Linked DNA regions of Drosophila melanogaster. The protein of the gene in region 3 interacts with the protein of the main gene of each other region in a pairwise test. Each region holds a gene or a part of one and is shown on either strand. Other genes may lie near its edges. The genes, in order: Patsas, moon, Slmap and CG15764.

Region 1 (5,488 bases), about 10 Mb from region 3:
TCATCTCCAGACGTTCGAAGTTCTGCTTCTCCTTGACAATTTGCTTAACCAGACCCTCCATGGCGCCGTAGTCGTTGGTGGAGATCTAATTGGGCGTTCAATTTAATTTAATTCTTACTGAACATCACAAATTACTTACACCCTCGCCCTCCAGATGCATGTCGTAGTAGAAGCCGTTTTCAATGGGCGGACCGTAGCACAGGTGTCCACCATAGATGCGCTCCATGGCCTCACCCATGATGTGGGCAGAGCTGTGCCAGAAGACGGCCTGCGCCTCAGGGTCGTCGAACTTGAGAAGCTGCAGGGTGCAGTTTCCCTCGAGCACACGGTCCAAATCCCACACCTCGCCGTTCACCTTGGAGATGACGGTGTTGTCAGCGAGACCCTGACTAATGCCGCGGGCCACTTCGTACGGAGTGGTCTCCCAGGAGGTGGCGTCCACCTGCTTGCCATCGGGCAGTGTCACCTTGATGGGCTCACGCTTCTTGGCCGCCAGTTCGGCCTCGTATTCCGCCTTGCACTTCTCCCAGAAGACATTGCGCTCCTCGATGTACTTGGGCAAGGGACTGAGTTCTGAAATCAATATAGCAGAGATCAGTGGAATTTCAGGTATTAGAGAGAAGAAGGCAGCTAATCTTAAAGATATGCTACATATCTTACAGACGGAAGTGCGTTTTGTGTTTTTAATTCTTAGTTAGAATTACTTACCCTTGCGAGTATCTCCACCGCCGGATGGCTTCTCCTTTTTCTCCTTCTTCATCTTGGCAGCCTGCAAATCCATCGGAAATAGGTTAAAAATCAATATAAACCGGAGATATTCAAGTGGCCACAAGTGTGCTACGTATGCAATTAGACAAATGCTCTTTTTCGGTATCTACTTTCGACTGATGTTTTCTTATTGTTTAAACAATTGGGGACATGGCAATGAGCACTTTTCGGTGCTATGTTTTCGGTGCTCCTATCTCTGTTTTATCGAGCCGTCTTTGAGCGTATCTTCGTCGTTTTATGGCTGATGCAATAGAGTAGCAAAAAAAAACAGACACTCATGAAGTTGGTTGGTTGTTAGTGACGTCACAGCCGGCGGCACTGATTCATTGGAGAATCGCATACACTCACACAGACAAGCATAACATTTACACGTGCCAGCAGTAACAGGCGTTTAAATTGAAGTTTAGGTCAATTCTTTTTAGCTTAAAACACCAACCAAAGTTGCGTAGCTGTGTTGTTGTTGTTCTTTCAATTGTGGTTGCTGTTGTTGTTGTTGTTTTGGTGGCTTCGACTGCGTCTGAATTTTCGGCAAAATCCACTGGCAAATGCGGCTTATTTGGCTATAATATCTGCCGCCCTGCGGCGCCAACTTCAACATAATTCGGCTAACTAGCACTTCTCATACACTCGAATGCAGTTCGAAAAGAGTTTAACATGCCTTTTGATTGTTCAAATCCAAGTTATTTAGTTCCGTCACCACGTTGTCGCCCATTTTTTACGAAACAAATTTATCAAAAAGGGGCACAGTGTTACCAGGTGGCAAAATAACAGAGACATGGGAACCTTACAAAATGCAATGCTAGCATCAGTTCAAAATGCAACATTCGTACCAAGCAATATAGTAGTATACATTTTAAAGGTTTCTAGCGGCGGAAAACAAATGTTTCCCAATAATGTTAAAACTAATATAAAAGTCAGTTGATAAACCTTTTTTTTTTAGTTTGCTTATGCCACGAGATTTCTAGTATATTTAAGTTAAGCTAAATGATACCTCGGTTTCAACAATTGACCTTCCAACAAATTAAATATATATATTTTTTCTTTAATACTTCTTGACTTAAATCTTAAATCACCCCTCGCTGAGAAAAGTCTTAATTACCAGTATGTGTTGGCAACACTGCGCGCCCAACTGCGAAAATAACGGTCAGCTGTTGATTTGTTTGGCGCCAAGTCGAGTTCGAAAGTGGCCCCAATTCGAGTCCTGCGATTCGGGACAAATATTGATTTTCTCACAGTGCTGACATAATTTCCTCGCCATCGAGTGCAGTCGTGTTTACCTAGCATTCCACGCCTAAGATTGGCCAAACAGAGTACAAATTTCGGTCGGAGCGTAACGGAAAAAGGCGACAAGATTGCACACCTACTGGAAAACCCCCTGCATCAAGGCAACGGTGGAACGGCGGACCGTCTGGGCGTGGACTTCGAGTTCTACATGGCCTCGAAGGTGCATCCAAGTCCGGGGGCGGCGCGCAGTGTGTGGGCGTTGCCCCTAACCGCCTCCTCCTCCTGCAACATGGTCGTCGCGGAGGAGGATGGCCATGCCCACGCCGACGACATCCATTTGGATCATCGACCGCATTCGCCGCCATTAACGGGTCGCGGCACGGACGGTGGACACGGCAGTAGCGGCGTCGAGGACCACGAAAATGTGCTCCTCTTTGAGGGGCTCGATGGTGCCACCACCGTGAGTTTGGACGACATCTTCGATATTATCAAGAACGGAGAGGTCAGCGAGGTGGAGAATCTCGTGGACAAGTTCGGCATGGAGTGTCTGTCGGCCAGGGATCGTCATGGCTACACGCCAGCCCACTGGATAGCTCTCAACGGCAATGTCCAGCTGATGCGATACCTCATCGAACGCACGGCTCCGATCGATCTGCCCTGTTTGGGTACGCAGGGTCCACGGCCCATTCACTGGGCGTGCAGGAAGGGTCATGCGTCCGTGGTGCAGGTCCTCCTCCAGGCTGGAGTTGCCGTCAATGCGGCGGACTTCAAGGGACTTACACCCCTCCATCTCGCCTGCATGTACGGCCGTACTGCAACGGCGGCCTATCTTCTTGGAATGGGAGCGCTGAACAACCTAACTGACATAAACGGCGATACGGCACTCCACTGGGCAGCGTACAAGGGACATGCCGATCTTATGCGACTCCTCATGTATTCCGGCGTTGAGCTTCAAAAGACGGACAACTTTGGATCGACTCCACTGCATCTGGCTTGCCTGTCTGGTAACATGACGTGCGTTCGCCTGCTGTGCGAGAAGTCCCAGCTGGATCTGGAACCGAGGGACAAGAATGGAAAGACGCCGATCATGTTGGCACAGGCTCATCAGCACCAGGATGTGGTGCGCCTGCTGTACGGCGAGGTGAAGAAGAAGTCCCGTTGGATTCCCTCAGTCTCGGAAAGTTGGGGCTGGCTCTTTGGCGGAGCTGGAGACTCCAAGGGACCGCTGTTTCTATTTCTCTTCTCTGTGCTACTTTGGGGCTATCCCATGTACATGATCCGTGCGATTCCCATTACGTGGAACATATTGAGACGCTCGCACTATTGCTTTATATACTGGAACGCCGTAATGTGGATAAGCTGGGCCATTGCCAATCGCCGGGATCCGGGGTATATACCACTCAGTTCGGATGCCTACTACCGGGCCATCAAGCAGATTCCGTACTTCGACAAACTGAAGAAGCGAAATGTGATGCTAACCCGACTATGTCACAGCTGCAGGTGCCTCCGGCCGCTGCGAGCCAAACACTGCCGCGTGTGCAACCGGTGTGTCTCGTACTTTGACCACCACTGTCCCTTTATCTACAACTGCGTGGGACTGAGGAACAGAATGTGGTTCTTCCTGTTCGTCCTCTCGGTGGCCGTCAACTGCTCGTTCACCATCTACTTTGCCTGCTATTGCGTGATGATCGAGGGCTTCACGATGCTCTATGTGCTGGGACTCATCGAGGCGGTTGTGTTCTGCGGCTTGGGTTGGATACTCACATGCACTTCGGTAAGTGCTTCTTTTCCAAAAATATTAATCGTTTTGACATCATTTGCACTGGCAGATCCTGCACGCCTGCATGAATCTCACCACAAACGAGATGTTTAACTACAAGCGTTATCCTTACTTGCGGGACAAACGCGGACGATATCAGAATCCCTTCTCGCGTGGTCCCATCCTGAATTTACTCGAATTCTTTGTCTGCCTGCCGGACCGGGGCGATGACAACGATCTCCTGCTGGAGGATAACATTTGATTAAGGATCTAGGATCGAGCCCCTGCTCGCCGGCGCAAGCTGCCCGTGCGTGGATAATGTTGCGAGGAGGCAGCCAGAGACCCACTCGGGTAGGCTGCCAGTTTGGTTTTGCTCCGCAGGCTTACTGCTTACTCGAATGCTTTAAAGTTCGAACCAAAGGTCGTCAAGTGCGTGTTTTATCATTTACAATTGCAATCAACATATCCTTGCGGAAGGACAAATCGATAGCAAATTCCAAGTGCAATTCAGAGCATCAATAAATTACATTGCTAAGATTCCATTATTGTTAACGGCTCCAAATCAATTCCTTCCGCAATGGTGTTCAAAGCATCGGCCAGCCGTGCTTTTTGCTTTTTTTAACTAACTAATTACCTTTTAGGCTTGGATAAGAATACGCTTCTCTTGTTAGTTTTTGTACAAAATTGTTATGTATAAAATGTGTTATTTAATGATCTCTATATATTATATACCTATTATAATCATAAATGGTGTAAAGTTCACTAAATGGCTAGGCAGCGGTTAGTCACTTGGACGTGACCGTCACCAGTTTGTTCATTTTGTGTTCGGGGAATTGCACAAGTAATACTAGTAGAAGATCAGATCGGAGAATACGATTATGTTGTGTGTACACTTTGGCATGTATCTTGGGTGATGGGGGAGTCTAGAATGAATCGAATAATTCGTGAAGTAATTGTGCTCGTTATGCTTAGCTCTCAAAGCAAAAATCATAGTTTTCGGGATCCTCCGGTATTGGCGGTGGGTCCTTGCTGATGTCCACACCTTCCGTGTCCAGCAGGCGCAATTTGATCTCCATCGACAGCAGAGTGTCGAAGTCCTCGTTCTTTTGCTTGCTGACCATCGGTTGACCCAGCAGCGCGTTTATTCCATCCGTCCAGTAGTTGAATATGCTTTCGTCGGGTGCCACAAAGTCCAACGTAGAGTGCTCCATGTTTTCGAAGGTGATGGAAAAGGCCAGGTTTACCGCCGATTTCCGAATGCGAGTTTCCTTCATATGCGGGCATTCCTTGCCCTCTAGCAATTGCTTAATCTCACTGATGGGCAGTTTCTTGGGCAACTCCTCCATGGTGGGTATTGTCTTCTCGTCGCAATCTCCGTAATGAATCACCTTGTGATTCGGCGAAAGACGAGCGTACCAGAACTTGTCCTTTGTTCGAGTGCCTCGCAAGTATTTTGCAAAATGTGTACCTATAAGTGCAAGATTTATCCATGTTAAGATTGCCCTTGAAATGTATTTATTAGAAATTGTACCTTCCACCAGAAAAGAGAGCCGTTGCTGCTTGATTAGCTCAAGAATTTGCGGTGATATCTTCTCTTTGAGCTTAACAATCGCCGAAGCTGTGGAATCACACTCCTCCTTCGAAGTGCGCTCCTGCTGGCGCAGTGTTGTGATCTGCTGATAGGTCAACAAAGCGATCTTGTTTCGGAAATCGTCCAGGTTCTCGGGTCTGCCCTTT
Region 2 (4,142 bases), on a different chromosome or scaffold from region 3:
ACTTGGTTCTGGATTCGAATCAAGAAGATCACCAAATATATATTATTGAAATACTCAATTATTAGCGAAACTCTTGATTTTATCGATTTATTATGCCATTCTTTTTAAGTTAGTAACCAATTCAAGTGACTCGAAAGTTTTGATCGCCCATGCCATTTATGATTCAATTCAATCTATGCCTATGGCCACAAATAGTCGAGTAATTTATCGTATAAACTGCATTTTCAAGCCAAACTACTCACGGCCCAAATCAGCCGCATAATCAGCGCTATCGCCATCATCATCGGCACTATCATTATCATTATCATTATCATCATTGTTCCTTGTCGCGTCGTTGGGGATCGAAGGTTGTCGTTTGCTATTGGGGGGGTTACACGGGTTATTGAGGGTTACAAGGAGGTTACAAGGTGGTTACAGAGGGAGGAGGTTCATAGTAGGGAGCCAGCCAACGACAGACAGAGTCATTTATAAAATTTCCACCCGAACGTGTTAAATGGCGTCAATATTAAAAGTTCAAATATGACGCTGACGATGACGACGCTTGGGGAAAATGGGCAAGGGAAAATGGTTATGTGCGGGTGCATGGACGGTGACTTTAGGGGTTCGCGGGTCTAGGGCGTGATAAAATCGTAGGTTTGGCCAGGCAGGCAGACTAACATATATAGACGGCAAACGAATCAACAAACGTTGAAGCTATTATCGTTGTCGCAACATCGCACAACTACAGATACAACTGCGGCGTAACATGCATGGGTGTCTCTGGTCTAAGATAAAGGGGGTTCGTAACTGAAGTCTAGAAAGGGATATTTGCACTTTTAGAAAATAATAGCTACAAATCAAAGTCTTGAAAGTTCAAAAGCAGGCAATCATCTTGTTTTAAAGAGTATCCTGGTACCTTTATGTCTTGTCTTAAATGTAGTACTTAAATATACGAGTTTAGATCCCTTCTGCGAATGCCACTGCATACACACACACATATGGCATATGGTCCTTGTTGCTATTGCTCTTGCTGCTGCTCATCATCATCTTTTGGCGTTAGCAAGTGCTTGGCGGCAACTTCTAATGGCGGCATTATGCCCGCCAAACTCCACCCCCCTCCCCAAGCCTTATTCTGCTCATGAGTGTGTGTGTGTGTTTGTGTGTGTGTGTGTGCGCCCTGCGCAAAATGAAAATGAAACTGTTGCAAAATCCCATAAAACGGCCAAAAAGCTTTTGTAAATGACGCCAACAGCTGTCGATGGCAAAGCAGACAACGTCGCCGTCCGCCCAATTTGCCAAAGCACCCACCCACTCACTCATGAAGCCCCAAACACCCCCCCACCCCTTCGGAAACACCCCCTTCGTTGTACCACGATTGACATCTATGTGTGGGTGCACCGCTAAAAAATACTTCTATTTGAAATGATCGCTTTGTCTTAAGGTTTTTAAAACATTATAACATAGCATAGTAATACATAGTAATACTGAACTTGCCACAATAGAAACATTTGTATTCGATTTCAGATTATGTAACGCATATGTGAAATAATTTATTAGACTTAAATTGTTTTCAATACCAAATTGTTTTCACTGCTTAATTGTGTGTTAGAAATGGGGGTTAGATGGCGCTGCTAGTGGTGAGTGGGGCATCGTGAAGGTTTTTGGCGCGTTTTAATAAAGCGACAATGACATTTTATGAATTTTCCACTTTGTTCTCGGTCCACGCCCACAATACGCCAACCCAACACCCCCTAACCCGCCGATGACACCACGATGCCAGCCCCTTTGTGCTGTTTTCATTATTTGTTTGTTTGCCGAGAACCACAGACTGGCGGCCGGTTGGAATCCAGGACTCCAGGACTCCAGGACTGTAGGACTCCAAGACCAGGACTTCCAAAACTCCAAATGAATTGACATTGTCTGTGTATTCGACGGCTGGTTCAGTGTGTGTGTGTGCCGTGGGTTGGAGGGGGCAAGCCCCCGTGTGTGTTAGTGGGTGCTGGTGCCTGGGTGTTGCACAAAGGCGTGTCCCAGTGTGCCTTTTGATATCGGATTTCATTTATAATTAGCTGCAAAGTTAACGGTTGCCAGCCATACCTTGACTTGTGGTTGGTGGTGGCCCCGGTCAAGTAATTTGCTTGTCAGTTGGGTTCCCGGGGTTACTTGGCTCACCAGATGGATGGCAAGGCTGCCATGGGGCTGCACTGCAGGTGGTGGAAGCTGTCCAACGGCCAGGAAGATGTCGTAGTTTAAGTTAAAAGAATCTTTAAGCAAGGCTTTTTTTCCAATATTCTAGCCCCTTTCGATTGCAAGATAACTTAAAATTTAAATTATATTACCATTTATAAATGCACATGAGTAAAATTGTTATTATTATTATTGTTATATATAAATATATATCTATATAAATTTATTTAATAGCTTATAACATCGTTATCAGTGTGAACATTCTATAATCCTCCCATGCATTGCGGTAAGTCGATGATCAATTGTATCGATCGATAGCAAGCTTAATCTATCGGCGTAAGCAGCGTAGCTCTCATAAAACAATAACATTGAGAACCAGTCATTTCAACCACATTGCTTTGGCTTTGCCATGGCCAAGATATTGCCCACCGATGGCATCTGGATACCGGAGTCGTGCAGCTTTCCGGAGGATGTGATGATCGATATGATGGAGGGACTATTCCGCGATGTGCCAAACCTAACGCACAAGGAGTACCTGGCGCTGGCCGACCTGCAATCTAGATGGATGGCGAAGCTGGCCAACCGACAGCCGGAATCGAATCCCCTGCCGCCAAAGCCAAAGAAGCGTAAGAAAATCGCTCCAAAGAAGCAGGACCAGCCTGTCGAGGAGAAGGGCAGCGAAGTCGACATCTACGATGTGGACGACAACGAGATGGTCAACAATCGCATCTACATTCCGCGACTGCGTTCCGCTTGGAGAGCTCGCTATTTCAACATTATGATGCGCGCCTTTGTCATCAAACGGGGACTATTGAATAAGCACATTAACTGGCAGATTCTCGACAAGATCATGGCAGCCCCCGACGCAGAGGGACAAGCCGAGCTTCAGGCGTTTGTTGACAAAGTGGTCGCAGGCCAGGAAATGTAGTCCTTACAGCCTCCTAGGATAAGCACCCAAACACATAGATATGTAAATTCAAAATATCAATTGTTTACTCAAATTAAAAATAACAATTGTATAATCAAATCAACCTTTGTAAAATCATACCAATTGAACATAAGCATAGGTGTGAAGCAAAACCAGAGCCAATAAACCATACGAATGCCATCGTCTTCTGTGGGCCAAATCAACAAACGTTTTCCCAATTTCCCCATGAACGGCTCGGTGCCACACACCGAAACATGGGAGAAGTTACAAAGTAAATTCCACGCCCGGTTGCCAAGTGGTAGTCCAAATTAACAGCTAATTACGTGCGAATGAGAGCTACCCGGTTGGGGGATGTGGTCCAAATGTACTGGCTGCGAGCAAAATGGAAAACGGGGCAGGTCACAACGAACACGTACTAGCAACTAAATGGAGAGAAAGCGAGACAGACACCGAGTCAAACAACATTTGAATACGAAATTGCCCTTGAAAAAAGGGTTGCCAGCAAAAAAAAAAAAAAAAAAAAAACAATCAAAAAAAGTACAAGATATTCCAAAAGTCCCTGCGAGGCGAGAACAAAAGTGACAAATTAGTCAGTGGGTGGGGGTGTCAGTGGGAGGCAGTCGACACTGAAAGCGTTAAAATTGAGATGGGGTGCGCCAAAAATATCCACTCGGAAAACGTTGAACTTACATATATAATGCAAGACAACTTGGTCGTTAGACCGGGTCTTTCTGTATTCTTTCTGGTCATTACAACATAATATTGTGGCGGTTGTCATAAGGAAACTTTCACAAATCTGCACACGTAGCTCGATCTCTTTTTGCATAATTACCAGCCAAGTCAAGAAACAATAGGTAGAGGTATAGTAAGTATACATTATCATTTTTCTTTCAAACTTCAAATTGTATAAAATCTGTTCAACGTTTAAGCAACTACAATACGGCAAGTCAGAAAAGAAAAGTTTTATTTTGCTTAGATATTTCATGTTTTTGATCAATTTTCTTGCATTGTTTCTCTATATATATTTCAATTTGGAATATGGAAATGT
Region 3 (8,712 bases):
CTTAAAGTGATTTTGAAACCAAATGCAAATAAAAATTTAATAAAGCTTGACGACAACGCAAGCATTAACTAAATATGCTGTCATCCCAGTGTACACTAATAGTGTGTAGATAAAAGCTTTTAATGCGCGAGTTTTCCTCATTAGCTAAAAGAATGGCGCTTAAATTCGACTGGAAAGAAAATATATGAGCAGGCCGATGGCAACACAGCCAAGAGGTAGAAAGCGGCATAGTAACTCTTGTTTACTAAATGGGATGTGTTTATGCTTTAAGTGCAGCTCAGAGATTTCTTTGCGAAGCTGCATGTTGTTAAGCTCCGAATTTTCAAGAAGCTCTTTGTAAACAATTAGTTCTTCTTCATTTTCTACGTTGGGGTTATTAATGGTTGCAATGTCCTCATTCCAAACACCTTCTGTGCTATCTCGATTATCAATTAGCTCTAACGTCTCACGCGGTAAACTGTTTTCCTCTTCCTGCAAGTTTGTTGCAAAATTGTGATCAACGCCTTTCTCAAGCTGCTTCTTTAATAGCTCAATTTGTCCTTGCAGGAAGTGTATTTCACTTGTTAAATGAGCTGTTTTTTTCTTGTACGTATCACATTCCTCTTGTAACATATCAATTGCCTGCTCCGTCGGTAATGCATTTGGAATATTAAGATTTTCCTCAACGTCTACAAGCTTTTCCTTACTTTCCGCATTAGGGGCTGACAATTTCGTTGCAGCCGAATCCTCTAAAATTGTATGTGTAGTTGAAGAATGGTTTTTAAAGTGATCCACGATTTCGGATGTATTTCTGCTAACGAACTCTGTTGGAACTGAATCGTTTGCCATATCCTCCTCCTCCTTAACTTTGCATTCAAAGGCTTCATCGTCACCATTAAAAATAGCTTTAAGCACTGAAGATCCTTCTTCTCCCTTGCCAAGATCGGAGTTCTTTAGCAATCTTAAGACGTTCGATTTATAATTGCCTTCTTCTAAATCGGGATTACTTAGTTTTAGCTTCTAGAATTAAATAGGAATATATTAATATATAATAGCATTAAGACTGCTATAAGCATTACCCTTTTTTTCGTTTCAGACAACACATTTTTAGCTGGTGACACAGACAAAATATCATCGTCAGAACTTTCATTATCATCCCTTTCATTTAGCGCTCTATCTTGAGCGTGGTCATAATCGTCAAGATTTATTGTATCTAAGTTTTTTAAGACAATTCGCTCCTTCAAATGTTCAGTATCAGACTCAGATAAATCGCGATGGATTCGCGAGACCTGCAGACGAAGCTCCTTAAGCTCGAGCTCCTGCGTCGTCAGCTTTCCATTTAGCACCTCTAAGCTGCGTGATTCTTGCTCTTTAGCCTCTTGTTCTTGGCGCACTGACTCCTTCTTGAATTCCATGTACTCCTGCTGAAGTTCCTCTAACCGGGTATTGAAATCAGTCAGCGTCTGCTTTAGTGTTAGAACTTGAGCGCGAAGTATGCCGCACTCGTTTTCAGAAGTGGCGTAGGCCATCTCCATCTTAGAGAGCATTTGCATAGCATCGCAGCGTTCCTGGTAGACCTTCCGCAGGGCCTCTTTGGCAGTCAACTGGTACGTTGTTTTGTCCTCAAGAAGCTTTACAATCTATTGAAGACAAAGAGAGAAATATTAAAAAAAAAAAATCAAATTTTACCAAAATATACTTAAAATTTTTTGCAGACAAAATTTTAATATTCAAAGGAGCTACTGACCATTAAGTCGGAAAAAGGTCCTCTTCGAGTTTTTTAAACCCATTTATAAGGGTATATTAATTTCTTTCAAAAAGCTAAAAGGTTGAATTTTCGAGCTATAGAATATTTCCTGTATTCGGTACCTTTTTGTTGTTTTGTCTTATTTCACGCACAAGTTTAAAATCGCATATTCGTATGGTCTCAATTTGCTTGCCTATCTGTATTTTTACCGTTCTGTATGAGTTCTTTGTTTTAGAGCCCTAGAGCACATGTATGTACAGTTTGTCAAGAAACTGTTTACACACTGTAAAATAAGTTGACTTTTTGACTTTAAAGCTAAAAATAAAGGGTTTTTTGCTTAATTAAACGCAATTTTTTTATAAAATATTATTAAACAATATTTATTTTACTTATAAATCAAAAAACAAATTAAAAATATTAAATATACAAGAAAATAAACAACAAATTCCAAGTTTACACACTTTTGAGACTGTCAAGAAACTCTTTACACAAAACACTAAATCGAAGTTTAATCCTAAATTTTTTAATTATTTTATTAAAATTTTAAAAGTTTTGGTATGTAGTATGTTCCCCATTGGCTTTAGCTACAAGTTGAAGCCTTTTTTTCATGGATTGGACAAGTTTTTGCAGGTCATATTCAAACGGGATCTTTTCACACTCTTCGACTATTACAGTCATAAGCTGTTGTTGTGTTTTAGGTCCCTTTTTGCCACCTTCTTCTTTAAGTAGGTCCACAAATTTTCAATGGGGTTCAGATCAGGACTCTGAGGGGGCGTATCGATCACTTTACCACAGTTATTAAGGCGCCAGGTGCGTACATTGCACTCTTTATGTTTCTGATCATGTCTTGGTAAAACTTAAAATTTGGCTTGTTGTTGCTAACCAGACTAATTTTTTCTACACTGGCCTTCAAATTTGTTTTCTAACATTTCTAGATATTGCACGGCATTTATTGTGCTCTCAATTAAGGCTAGTTTTCCCACTCCACGGCTGGTGATACAGCCCCACACCATCAGTGACATTTTTCCAAATTTTATCGTTGGAATGATATTTTGTTTTTCTAGCGCACTCAACGGTTTGCGCCATACTCTGCTTGGCCCGTCGTTATAAAAGAGCATCATTTTTGTTTCGTCACCAAATATGACGTCATCCCAGTACTCTTCCGCATGATCTATCATGCTCACAGCGAATAAATGACGCTTTTCAATATTGGCATCTGACAGCAAAGGGTTTTTCCTTGCAACTCTTGAAGAGTACCTATGGCGTAGGATGACTTGGAGCACAGTTTCGTGTGACACAGCTAGGTGACATTCTTGCCTGATATCCAGAGCAAGTGATCTGACCGAGATTCGGGGGTTCGCAATCACTATTCGCATAATAAAGCGGTCTACACGCTTTTTAATTTTAATTTTCCGCCCACCACCACTCTTAGGTTCAAGCCTGCCCTCTTTTTCCGAGCCTTTTAAAACATTGTAGACGGTCTTACGGGATACAGGAAACATTTATACTAATTCTGGAAAAGATTTTCCCAACTGGTGGTTATAGTTTATTAATTGGGTAACTTTAAAAGTTAATCTCTTTCCAGGCATTTTATTAAATTTAATAATTCGCTTTAAGCACGTTTGATCAGCAAAATTTCACAAGCAAAGTCAACAAAATTTCAATAGAAGCGTTGTAAAAAGCAATGCAAAGCCAAAAATAACGGAAAAATCGAGTTCGTTCTAAGAAAAAGAACAAAACAAAGTAGGAAAACAAAATGTGTAAAGAGTTTCTTGACAGTCTCAAAAGTGTGTAAACTTGGAATTTGTTGTTTATTTTCTTGTATATTTAATATTTTTAATTTGTTTTTTGATTTATAAGTAAAATAAATATTGTTTAATTATATTTTATAAAAAAATTGCGTTTAATTAAGCAAAAAACCCTTTATTTTTAGCTTTAAAGTCAAAAATTCAACTTATTTCACAGTGTGTAAACAGTTTCTTGACAAACTGTATATACATTAGAATATAACTCTTTTAATTCTGTAAATTAGAAAGTGTGGGGTGGGAAACAGCTTTTGGTATCAAATAGGAGTCCCTTATTTTGTACAAAAATAATAGCAATGATCTGTTCGTATCAAATGTGAGGATTGGGTCAGCAAAGCACAATTTGTTTAAGGATTTATTTTTTCTGTTATATAAAAACTGAGAAAAAAAGAGAAAATATACTTTAACCTAAAAATTAGAAACAAATAAAAAGTAACGTTTACAAAATATGTATAACAAATTACTCCACTGGCACCAATCGGTGGCACCAAAATACCATTTGCTCACAATTAAAATACAATACACCTTATACAAATGATTATAATTAATGCGTATTCAAATAATAAAAATGAAGGAATCAATGAATGAATAACAAAATGAAACTCTAAAGCCATTATATACTGCTTTGTTTTAAAGGCACAACCACTAGATATAATTTGATGGGACCGAATTAAATTGCTTAGATTCAGATTTGCTTAATTTTTGTGCATTAAACATTTTGATTATGTTTGTAGTTAAGACAATTCATTATAAGATTTGGTTCAATTTATTTTATCTTGTCCGGTTTGGGAAACAGATTTATTAAAAATTTGCATATTGAAATCTTTAAATTAAAAGGAAAACACAAGTGTGCAAAAATGGTTTTTTAGAGATTCCGTTATACAGGCTAACGGAAAGGTGTGTACGTATTTATGAACAAACTTTTTTAATTGTTCGTGTGAAAGGTTTTTGAGGTTTTGCTTAGTTTCATGCTTAATACCAGTATTCTTGCTTTCATAGTTGTCCAGGATCACAGGATAAAATTGTAAAAAATAAACAAAGGCTTAATTTTTTAATCGGTCGCTAATGGGACTTACCTCGTTTCGCAGTGCATTCTCTGGAATGTTCTTTTCCATCATTTGCAGTTTCTTTTCCAGAATATTTATCTTGTGAAGCAATTGGTCTTCAGTGATCATGCTTTGCCAACACATCGCAGAGTTCTTTCTGGTGTTATCAAGGACGCCTTGCAAGCTGCTTAATTTAGCTTTCAGAGATTTTTCCCTTTGTGCAGCCTCTTGGAGGAACGAGCTTAGGCGCTGCACTTCATCAAAGCTGATTCGGTTAGGCACAGTCAACATCATCTGCTCTGCCTCAACTGAAATGGCCTCTTGTCCATTGGGTAGAAAGAGGGCGACACGGGCCAGGATACACCCGTGTACCTCCTGACGTGAATTCTCAATTACCTCAACGCCGAACTTCACAATATCGCCATAATGTAGTTCCGCTGGATCACTACCCAACTTGTTGTCGTTAATAAAGGTACCGTTGCTGGATTTTGTGTCTTTGACCCAGAATTTACCGTCTGGAGTGTACCACAAAATCGCATGGTTTCTTGACAATACTTTACAGTCAAATATAGCGTTCCCCTCACCCGCCTTACTTTTAGCTATAAGGCGGCCCACCTTGCAATCCTGGTTGGGCTGCAGCAATATAGATCTCGTTTCAAACTTGTGCGACTTTGGTTCACATAGGAGTACGATTTTTGCTGCACCCTTACATGGCGTTGGGGCAGACTCCAATCCTATGTCTAGATCTACGCCAGAAGTTGGGGGCACTGAAGAGACTTGTAAAGTGCCGCATTCCGATGCCACCTCCCTTTGTAAAGCACTATTGTTTAGTACTCCTAGTGGGCTAAACAGACTGCAGGCAGTAGTTACTCGAACTCCAACCCCGGTGTTATTTGCATTCAGCACAGAGTTCATGGCCATATTCATAGCATGCTGGGAAACTTCAGCCGGACGTCGGTCAATACATACTGTGTTGGAATCACAAAGTTCCATATTATTATTTTCCTGGTTCTTCGTGGACGCCTCGTTGTTACTATCAGCCATATCTTCTTTTATGTCCATTATATGAAAGAAATTGTCCTGCTCCAAATTTTTTTCAGTTTCCATGTTTAAAGCGTATTGCGCCTCCTCTGGCTTCACAGCAGGTTCTTCCCCGGATGGATATCTGGTCGTCTGAGGTAATTCCGTGGCCGTGTCGGTTGTGCCAGTTCTGTTTAATGCCGTTGATCCGACTGCTCCTGATGCTGGCGTCGGCGATAATGAACTTGACGTCTGGTCTTCATCAACATTATTTTTTAACCACTCATTGCACACCAAGACCATTACTTTACATCCAAACAAACCTTTGGGGATACGAGAACAAAAGCGGATTAACAAGTTAGTAATTAGTAATACACGAGTGGCTGCTGTTTGACAAATCCGACTAGCCGAAACATTGACAATGAATCCAAATTTTAAAGGCCTGCTTTAATTTAATGTAACTATAAAATTTGTCTTTTCCCGATGAAAATTTGAAAAGGTTTCCGACCACATAAGATATACACACATATGTAAATGCATACATACATACATACATACATACAGAATGAATTTGCATTTGATACAAAAATATGTACGTTCAATAGCAATGTTTTCAAGAATTATTGTAAACAAAAAACTATGCCATTAGTTGGTCATTCTTATGAATTAAGCAATTTTCGAGTTAAGGATGTGCCGATTAATTACGACAACTTAAACCAGGCATTAAAAATGTTTGGAACGGTTGGAAATTGTTTACTTTTTTGATTTAAAAATAAATTATATGGTACGGGGAGGACCGCTTAAGTTCAAGAACATTAAATTCGCAATAATATAAATGTTTGATATTGCGCAACGTTTTTACCTTTATTTTACAATGCACGCTTGGCTTACCTTGGAATTTTGTAATTTTCCTGTATTAATTGTTGCAACCTTCTACCCGTGTTTTTTAGTTTTCTTTAACTTTGAACAATTGTTGTACAAAAACACCTGGTTTCGCGGTAAATTTGTGTGCATACTTAAAATATTTCCGTCAAAATAGCGACAATCAACTGGTGATGAACACGGAACGATGAAAAAAGCGCTAAGCATTATTGTATATAATAATATACAATATACCAGTTTATATACCATATACCAGTTTCTATGTTGACATGCAACGATAGAACCATTCCATTCTGCAATTTCATTTCCAATAAATACAAACAATAATTTTCTAAAATTTTTATAAGAAATAAGATTTAAGAATTTTAAAATGTTTTAGAGCAATGTCGTATGCTAGAAAGGTTAAGAGTATGTTTGTAGTCGGCATACAAATGTTCTGCAATTACATTTCCAATAAAAAGAAACAAATAATTTTCTAAAATTGTTATAATAAGAAAGGAGATTTCGGAATTTTAAAATGTTTTAGAGCAATGTCGTATGCTAGAAAGGTTAAGGGTATGTTTGTAGTCGGCATAAAAATGTGTTTCCGAACCTTAAAGTATAGTGTACTCCTGATCATAAACACTATTCGATCAGGTCCGGTCTGTCTGACTGAAGGCTGTGATCTCGCAAACTACAAAATAGAGCTGGAAGAAACATCGGAGATAGCGCTACATAGATATTTAAAAAAAAATCGGAAACATCGAAATTTTCGGACATCGATGTTAGATTTTTCTGTTTTACCCATCACCATTTGCAGGGAAAGATCTTGCTAAGCTAATCGGCTAATGGCAAGACAGACAAATGTATTAAGTGGGGCAAGACACCAAACAAGTGCGAATAATACTAACTTGTCTTGCCACGTAATGAGGATACATATTAATTTAACAGTCAGTGAATTGCCACAAAGGCAACAGCAGTCAATTCTGTCATTTATTGACAAAATAATGAAACGTTGACGAATCGAAAACAAGTGCTCTACGCTACTACATTGGCTCAGACTTGCGCGGATTCGGATTTCGACGAAACAACTTATTTTTCTGAAAACATTGCAAACTTAATCCGCACAGTAATTGATGAACGCCCATATAGTTTGAAACAATAGAAATAGGTTATAGAAAATAAAATATATATGTATAGAAAATCCAGTTGGAATGGCGCGTTTTACCTGCTGAAACGATTTTTGATTACAAAGGTTGCTATCGCAACTGTTCTACTGAACCAAAGTCTCTAGAATAATAAAGAATTATTGTAGTGTCTTTGACTGAACACTCTCAAAGGGTTGGTTATTGCCGTAAATATCGAATAAAATATTCATTTTCGAGGATTTGAAGGCAATACTTTAACCTTTAGAGCATGCAACGGTTAAAGTTTACAAATTGTTCAAAATTGTGGGCGTGACCGGGTTGACGGCTTTTGGTCGTTAGAGTAGGCGTGTAAAAAGTTTTTGGCATATCGATATAAATTTTAGCGACTAATAGAATTATGAAAAAAATATCGAAAAAAGGTTTAAAAATGTGTGTTTTGCGCGGCATTTTTGGGAGGTTTTAGGGCGTTAGAGTGGGGCTGGCAGGTTTGTGTGCGTGGCAACATGGGTCAACCAACTTGCGCTGCGTCTTTTTCTGTGTTCTAGCTTTTTAAAATTCCTGGGATCTCGACGTTCATACGGAGAGAGGCCAGATAGACTCGGCTATTGATCCTGATCTAGAATATTTACACTTTATATGGTCGGAAACGCTTCCTTCTGCCTGACATACTTTTCAACGAATCTAGTATAACCTTTTACTTTATGAGTAACGGGTATAATGAGTGCATATCTTAATTATAGTTTGCAGCTTTATCGATGTTTGTTTTATTTTCTTTTAAATTGAATTCATTTTTCATTATAATTTTTGTGTTTGACGAGAAAGTAGTTTTAAGTTTCATTTTGATTTTCAGGCAATAAAAACACCAAAGTATGAATTTTAAATTTATAAAGAACTTTTACCCATTTTGATTTAGTTTTGGTATTCATTTTTAATATGATAATGACTAAAATACATTAAAAAACACCCTTAAAAATTTCGATGTATTGATACATCGATGGAGGTAAACATCAATGTTTTTCCAGCTCTACAAGACAGCTAAAATACGGGATTATCGATACTGTCGCCGTTCGAGTGGATTTGCCTTCAACGGCTACTCTCCTTGGATC
Region 4 (4,274 bases), on a different chromosome or scaffold from region 3:
ACCAAAAATCATTTTCCAATTTTACGCCTAGAAAATAACACAATTATTCTCGTAACAATTGACAGAATCATTCAAATATGGATTGTTATACCTCGTTAAGTTTGTATTTAAATTCCCAATCGAACTGTGTCCAAAAATGGGAATTCTATTTTTTAGCCATTTTTTGTAAATTTTGATGATGTTACCCCTTCCGAAAATGCGAAAAATGACTCAAAAATTATTTTTTCTAAATTGGTCCAAAAGTGATACAGATGGTTAGCCTTCGTTATTAGCTGCTCAAAACAGTTATTTCTTTGGTTTTATGATCATTTTTAGTCAAGTTATGATGAAAACGCTCATCTAAAGTTGTTTAATTTTTGCCAAAATCATTTTTTTCGATTTTCCGTCATAAAATAGTCAGTTTTTTGGCCACAACTTTAAAAATAATTGTCTGAATACGGAATGTCATATCACGTTGAGTTCGTATTTAAATTCCCAATCGAACTGTGTCCAAAAATGGGAATTCCATTTTTTAGCCATTTTTTGTAAATTTTGATGATGTTACCCCTTACCGAAAATGCGAAAATTGGTCCAAAAATTAATTTTCCTAAATCGGTCAAAAAGTGATAGGGATGGTTAGCCTTCGTTATTAGCTGCTCAAAACAGTTATTCTTTTTGCTTTCTGATCACTTTTAGTCAAGTTATGATAACAATGCTCATCTAAAGTTGTTTAATTTTTGCAAAATAATTTTTTTCCATTTTCCGTCTAAGATCTCAGTGTATGTCTATAGTCTTTTGGATGCTTTTTTCTCGTACCTGTCTTTCTATGCGTTTGTTTTCCATTTCACCTGCCCAGTTTTTCGTACTCATCGTTGGCATTCCAAAAAAATGGAGTGCCACGTGACTCCTCGTTGTGGTGGTTTAGGGGGGGGGGGGGGAGGACTATATAGGTCGGGCGGATTGACGCCGCTTGTGCATTGTTTCGAGGGGGCGGACAAAGCACACAAATAACTGTCAAAGTTTCAATTCTTTTCGAAAGTAAAGCCCGGGTAAAAAAAAAAAAAAAAACAAGAAACCGAATCCGAATCCAAAAGCAAACAAAGGCAGAACAATGGTCGAGCAAATTGAAAGCTCTCGATTGGTATTCCTCTATTCCGGACTTGTTTTCCCACTTTTCACTTTTCATTAAAACAGAAGCAGCACGGAAGCGTTGAAAAAAAATCCGCAAAAAACAGCGAAACTAAAATTGAAGTCGCTCTACAAATGGATAAACTCAGTTTGGCAATGGATTTTATTTACAGATCTCATTCAAGGTTCAATTTATGAAACGATTAATAGTTAAAGCAATAAATTTTTTAAAGGGCCGTTCAAGTAGGTTCCATTATCCTTACATCCGCGATGAATGCATGGCTGTTCTGTCCAACCGACACGATAATGCACATACTCATACATATGTACATATATGTTGCACATCAATCCCCCTTTCGCCGACATGCAAAGTGCAACACCTCTCGTTCTTCGAACAATTTTAATTATTTCCACACGCAGCAGCGACGCACTCAGTAAGTCCATGGGCGGCAGAGGGAACCGGCAAAAGAGTGGTCGTTGGAGTGGGATGGTGGGGGGTGGGGGGGCGAACCCGACCGCAGGGAGTGTGTTGTTGGCTTTAACGGGGAATTAAGTCGGGCAACAGGAAGTCAGCGAGCACAATAATTAAGATGAGCGCTCGAGGGGCAATTATGTGACATCAACTTGCCAATTTTAAAACACCCCCGCCCCCCCGCAATCACGAACTCTCCGCATCCCTTTATCCTTCAGTCGAAGGATAATGCGAACGTTTTGGCCAACAGTGGGCTGTGTATAAAGATTTCTAACCATATATAAATATTCTTCGAACTGCATACTTTGCGACACATTCATACACTCAGAGAAAAAAACCTTTGTAAACTTGTAATCTTGGAGTTGGAGTTTTCCGAAACCAGTAGGCCCGTCTCCAACTGGCAACACTTCATTTCACCTAATTTGACAGGGACACACACAACACGTTTGCTCTACGGTTCGGTCGGTAGTACCAAATCTTATATACACTACATCTTCACAGTATAGCCATATATATATATTAATATTATCAAAATTTTCCACTAAACCTGCTTTGGAATGAGCACAGAACATCTGAATGACGCGGCGGAGTCCGTGAGTGCCCGGAGTTTGGCTTTGGATCGCGCTATCGTCAATTTGGTGCACCAGGCCCGTCGCCTCCATTTGAACAGCGTGAATGGCTATACATCTCTGGAGGCATCTCTGGAGAAGGCAGTGCCAGAGTTGCTCACGACTAGGAGTGATACCGCACACCCCACCACCACAGCGACCAGCTCGGCAAGGTCTTTCCCGAAGCGTAGGCCCAGTAGCCTAGCACCACGACCTGCGCCCAAGGCTTTCAAAATGCGCAAGACCGATACGCATCTGAGGACCCCACGTGTCGTCCAGTGTAAGACGGCCCGTATCCCGGTGACGCCACCACCACCGCCACCCTCGCCGCGTTGCCCAAAACCTGGGGAACTTAGTTCGGCCATGGACATGGCCGATCTGCTTCGGATCGAGATCGCCGAGACGGATGCACTGTTGGATCAAATGCTATTCGATGCCAAGGCACTCGAACGCCAGGTGGCGATCCAGTGTCAGTTGCAGAGCGATGCGGAAATGATCCGCAGCCTGGAGATGGAGTACAGTGGGCGATCCATGAGATATCTGATAGAGGCCATTCAGTCGGACTGCGAGAGCCAGGATGTCCAGGATCTCTGGAGCCGATGTCAACGCTCTTTGGAACGCCACGCGGAGCGACAGACGGAGCTGGAGTCCAAAGAGGGTCTGTATCTGGATCGGAATCCAGGCAAGGGCACCGGCAAGGGCACCCAAACCGATATGGCTGACTCTCAGGACGAGATGCTACCTATCTCGTCCAATTCGATTTGCCAATGGTTGCGAAGGGCGATGGGTTCTTTAAGCCAAGAGGATCAGGTGCAGGAGATGGCCATCTAGCGCAGGCCAGCCTTGAATAGTATTTGAATAAAGATACACAACTCTAAAATCACTTGTGTGCTCTGCTGTTTTAACGATGGCCCATAGAAATATTGAAAAGCTGCGATTAGACTAGAACTGCGAGGATTAATTAACTACTACTTGAAAAAGTATATATATTTGTTAACTGATTTATACAGTGATACAGCTCAGTGATTTGACCGAACTCATCTTACAATCTATCTATCCATTTAATAAAAAGATATTCGAAAATTTCTCATTTCTACATTTCGAGTGAAAGTACCACTGTGCCGCCGCAACTTTGTGTCTGCCTTTGAATGGTTGTGTGAGGAAAGTTTTCTTGTTAAGTTGCAGATTGAATGGCGCCGGTAAACACGGTGCGGCAAGTGCAGGGCTCCCAGCTTCGAGGACACCATGCATCCATGCCTCTGATTGAGCCAAATCCTGGCTCATAACTAATTGCCAGCAGCGACGACGATGGCGCTGGCAGCGGTGCAAAGTTTAAATTAAGTTGCGTGTCATAGTCGAAAAGTTTTCCACTTATTCAAAGAGGCACGTGCTCCACTGAGCACTACTCCACGGAGAAACTCCTGTCCTCCACTGGCCAATAACGCCAGCGAAGACGGAGGATTGACAAAAGAAATAATAACCAACGGATGGGAAATATATGCATTACTGCTTTACGTGCAAACAAAGTTGCAAATATAATGGAAAATCCATAAATCACAAGAAGCTACTGATAAAGTTAACCACTTAAGTAATTTAAAATGATAAGTTAACTGGGAATCAACATCGAAAATGCCGTGGTATATTTAATATTTTTTGGATTACATTTACACTTAGTTATTCCAACTAATAAATAGGCTTCTTTTATTTAGACATTTAATCAAATGCATAACATTTAAATGGAATTTTCTCTGCATGTGCAATCTCTTACCGCCATCACACACAGTTTTGTTGGGTTTATCACACTTCATCTTAGGATCATTTCCAGTTGATATATGTAGCCAGTGAATGGCAATCCGTGCTGTTCGTCTCCTCAATTCGTTTTCACCTTTGACTGCGGCTGCGGCGACGTTGATGGCGACTCATCGAAGTCCAGGTAATCTGCGTAGTCGCGTCGCTTGGACAGCGACAAGGTCCAGCAGATGATCCACAGCGGCAGGAAAATCGTGCAGATGACAAAGTACAGCCAGTTGCCATAAATCTGCAATAGGAAAGTATTTTAGTTTATTATCTATGTATGTTAGTAGTGG

The links.
Region 1: the proteins of Slmap (region 3) and Patsas interact in a two-hybrid assay, tested with the Drosophila melanogaster proteins (one large-scale study listed by BioGRID).
Region 2: the proteins of Slmap (region 3) and moon interact in a two-hybrid assay, tested with the Drosophila melanogaster proteins (one large-scale study listed by BioGRID).
Region 4: the proteins of Slmap (region 3) and CG15764 interact in a two-hybrid assay, tested with the Drosophila melanogaster proteins (one large-scale study listed by BioGRID).

The regions. Positions count from the first base shown.
Region 1 is NT_033779.5:12,099,773-12,105,260, reverse strand, and holds Patsas (patsas), read left to right. Parts: upstream 1-1,975; 5' UTR 1,976-2,116; coding exon of another isoform or gene 2,117-2,200; coding exon 2,201-3,766; intron 3,767-3,821; coding exon 3,822-4,013; coding exon of another isoform or gene 4,014-4,025; 3' UTR 4,026-4,496; downstream 4,497-5,488. Other genes in the region: ThrRS (Threonyl-tRNA synthetase), read right to left, coding at 1-85, 140-573, 709-769, 1,205-1,366; Ced-12, read right to left, coding at 4,720-5,219, 5,283-5,488.
Region 2 is NC_004354.4:12,071,164-12,075,305, reverse strand, and holds moon (moonshiner), read left to right. Parts: upstream 1-2,487; 5' UTR 2,488-2,575; coding exon 2,576-3,094; 3' UTR 3,095-3,298; downstream 3,299-4,142.
Region 3 is NT_033779.5:22,577,029-22,585,740, reverse strand, and holds the start of Slmap (sarcolemma associated protein), read right to left. Parts: upstream 6,670-8,712; 5' UTR 6,489-6,669; intron 5,992-6,488; exon of another isoform or gene 5,921-5,991; 5' UTR 5,901-5,920; coding exon 4,608-5,900; intron 1,620-4,607; coding exon 1,059-1,619; intron 1,000-1,058; coding exon 160-999; 3' UTR 1-159.
Region 4 is NC_004354.4:5,867,046-5,871,319, forward strand, and holds CG15764 (uncharacterized protein), read left to right. Parts: upstream 1-2,049; 5' UTR 2,050-2,136; coding exon 2,137-3,018; 3' UTR 3,019-3,221; downstream 3,222-4,274. Other genes in the region: GAA1 (glycosylphosphatidylinositol anchor attachment 1), read right to left, coding at 4,058-4,225.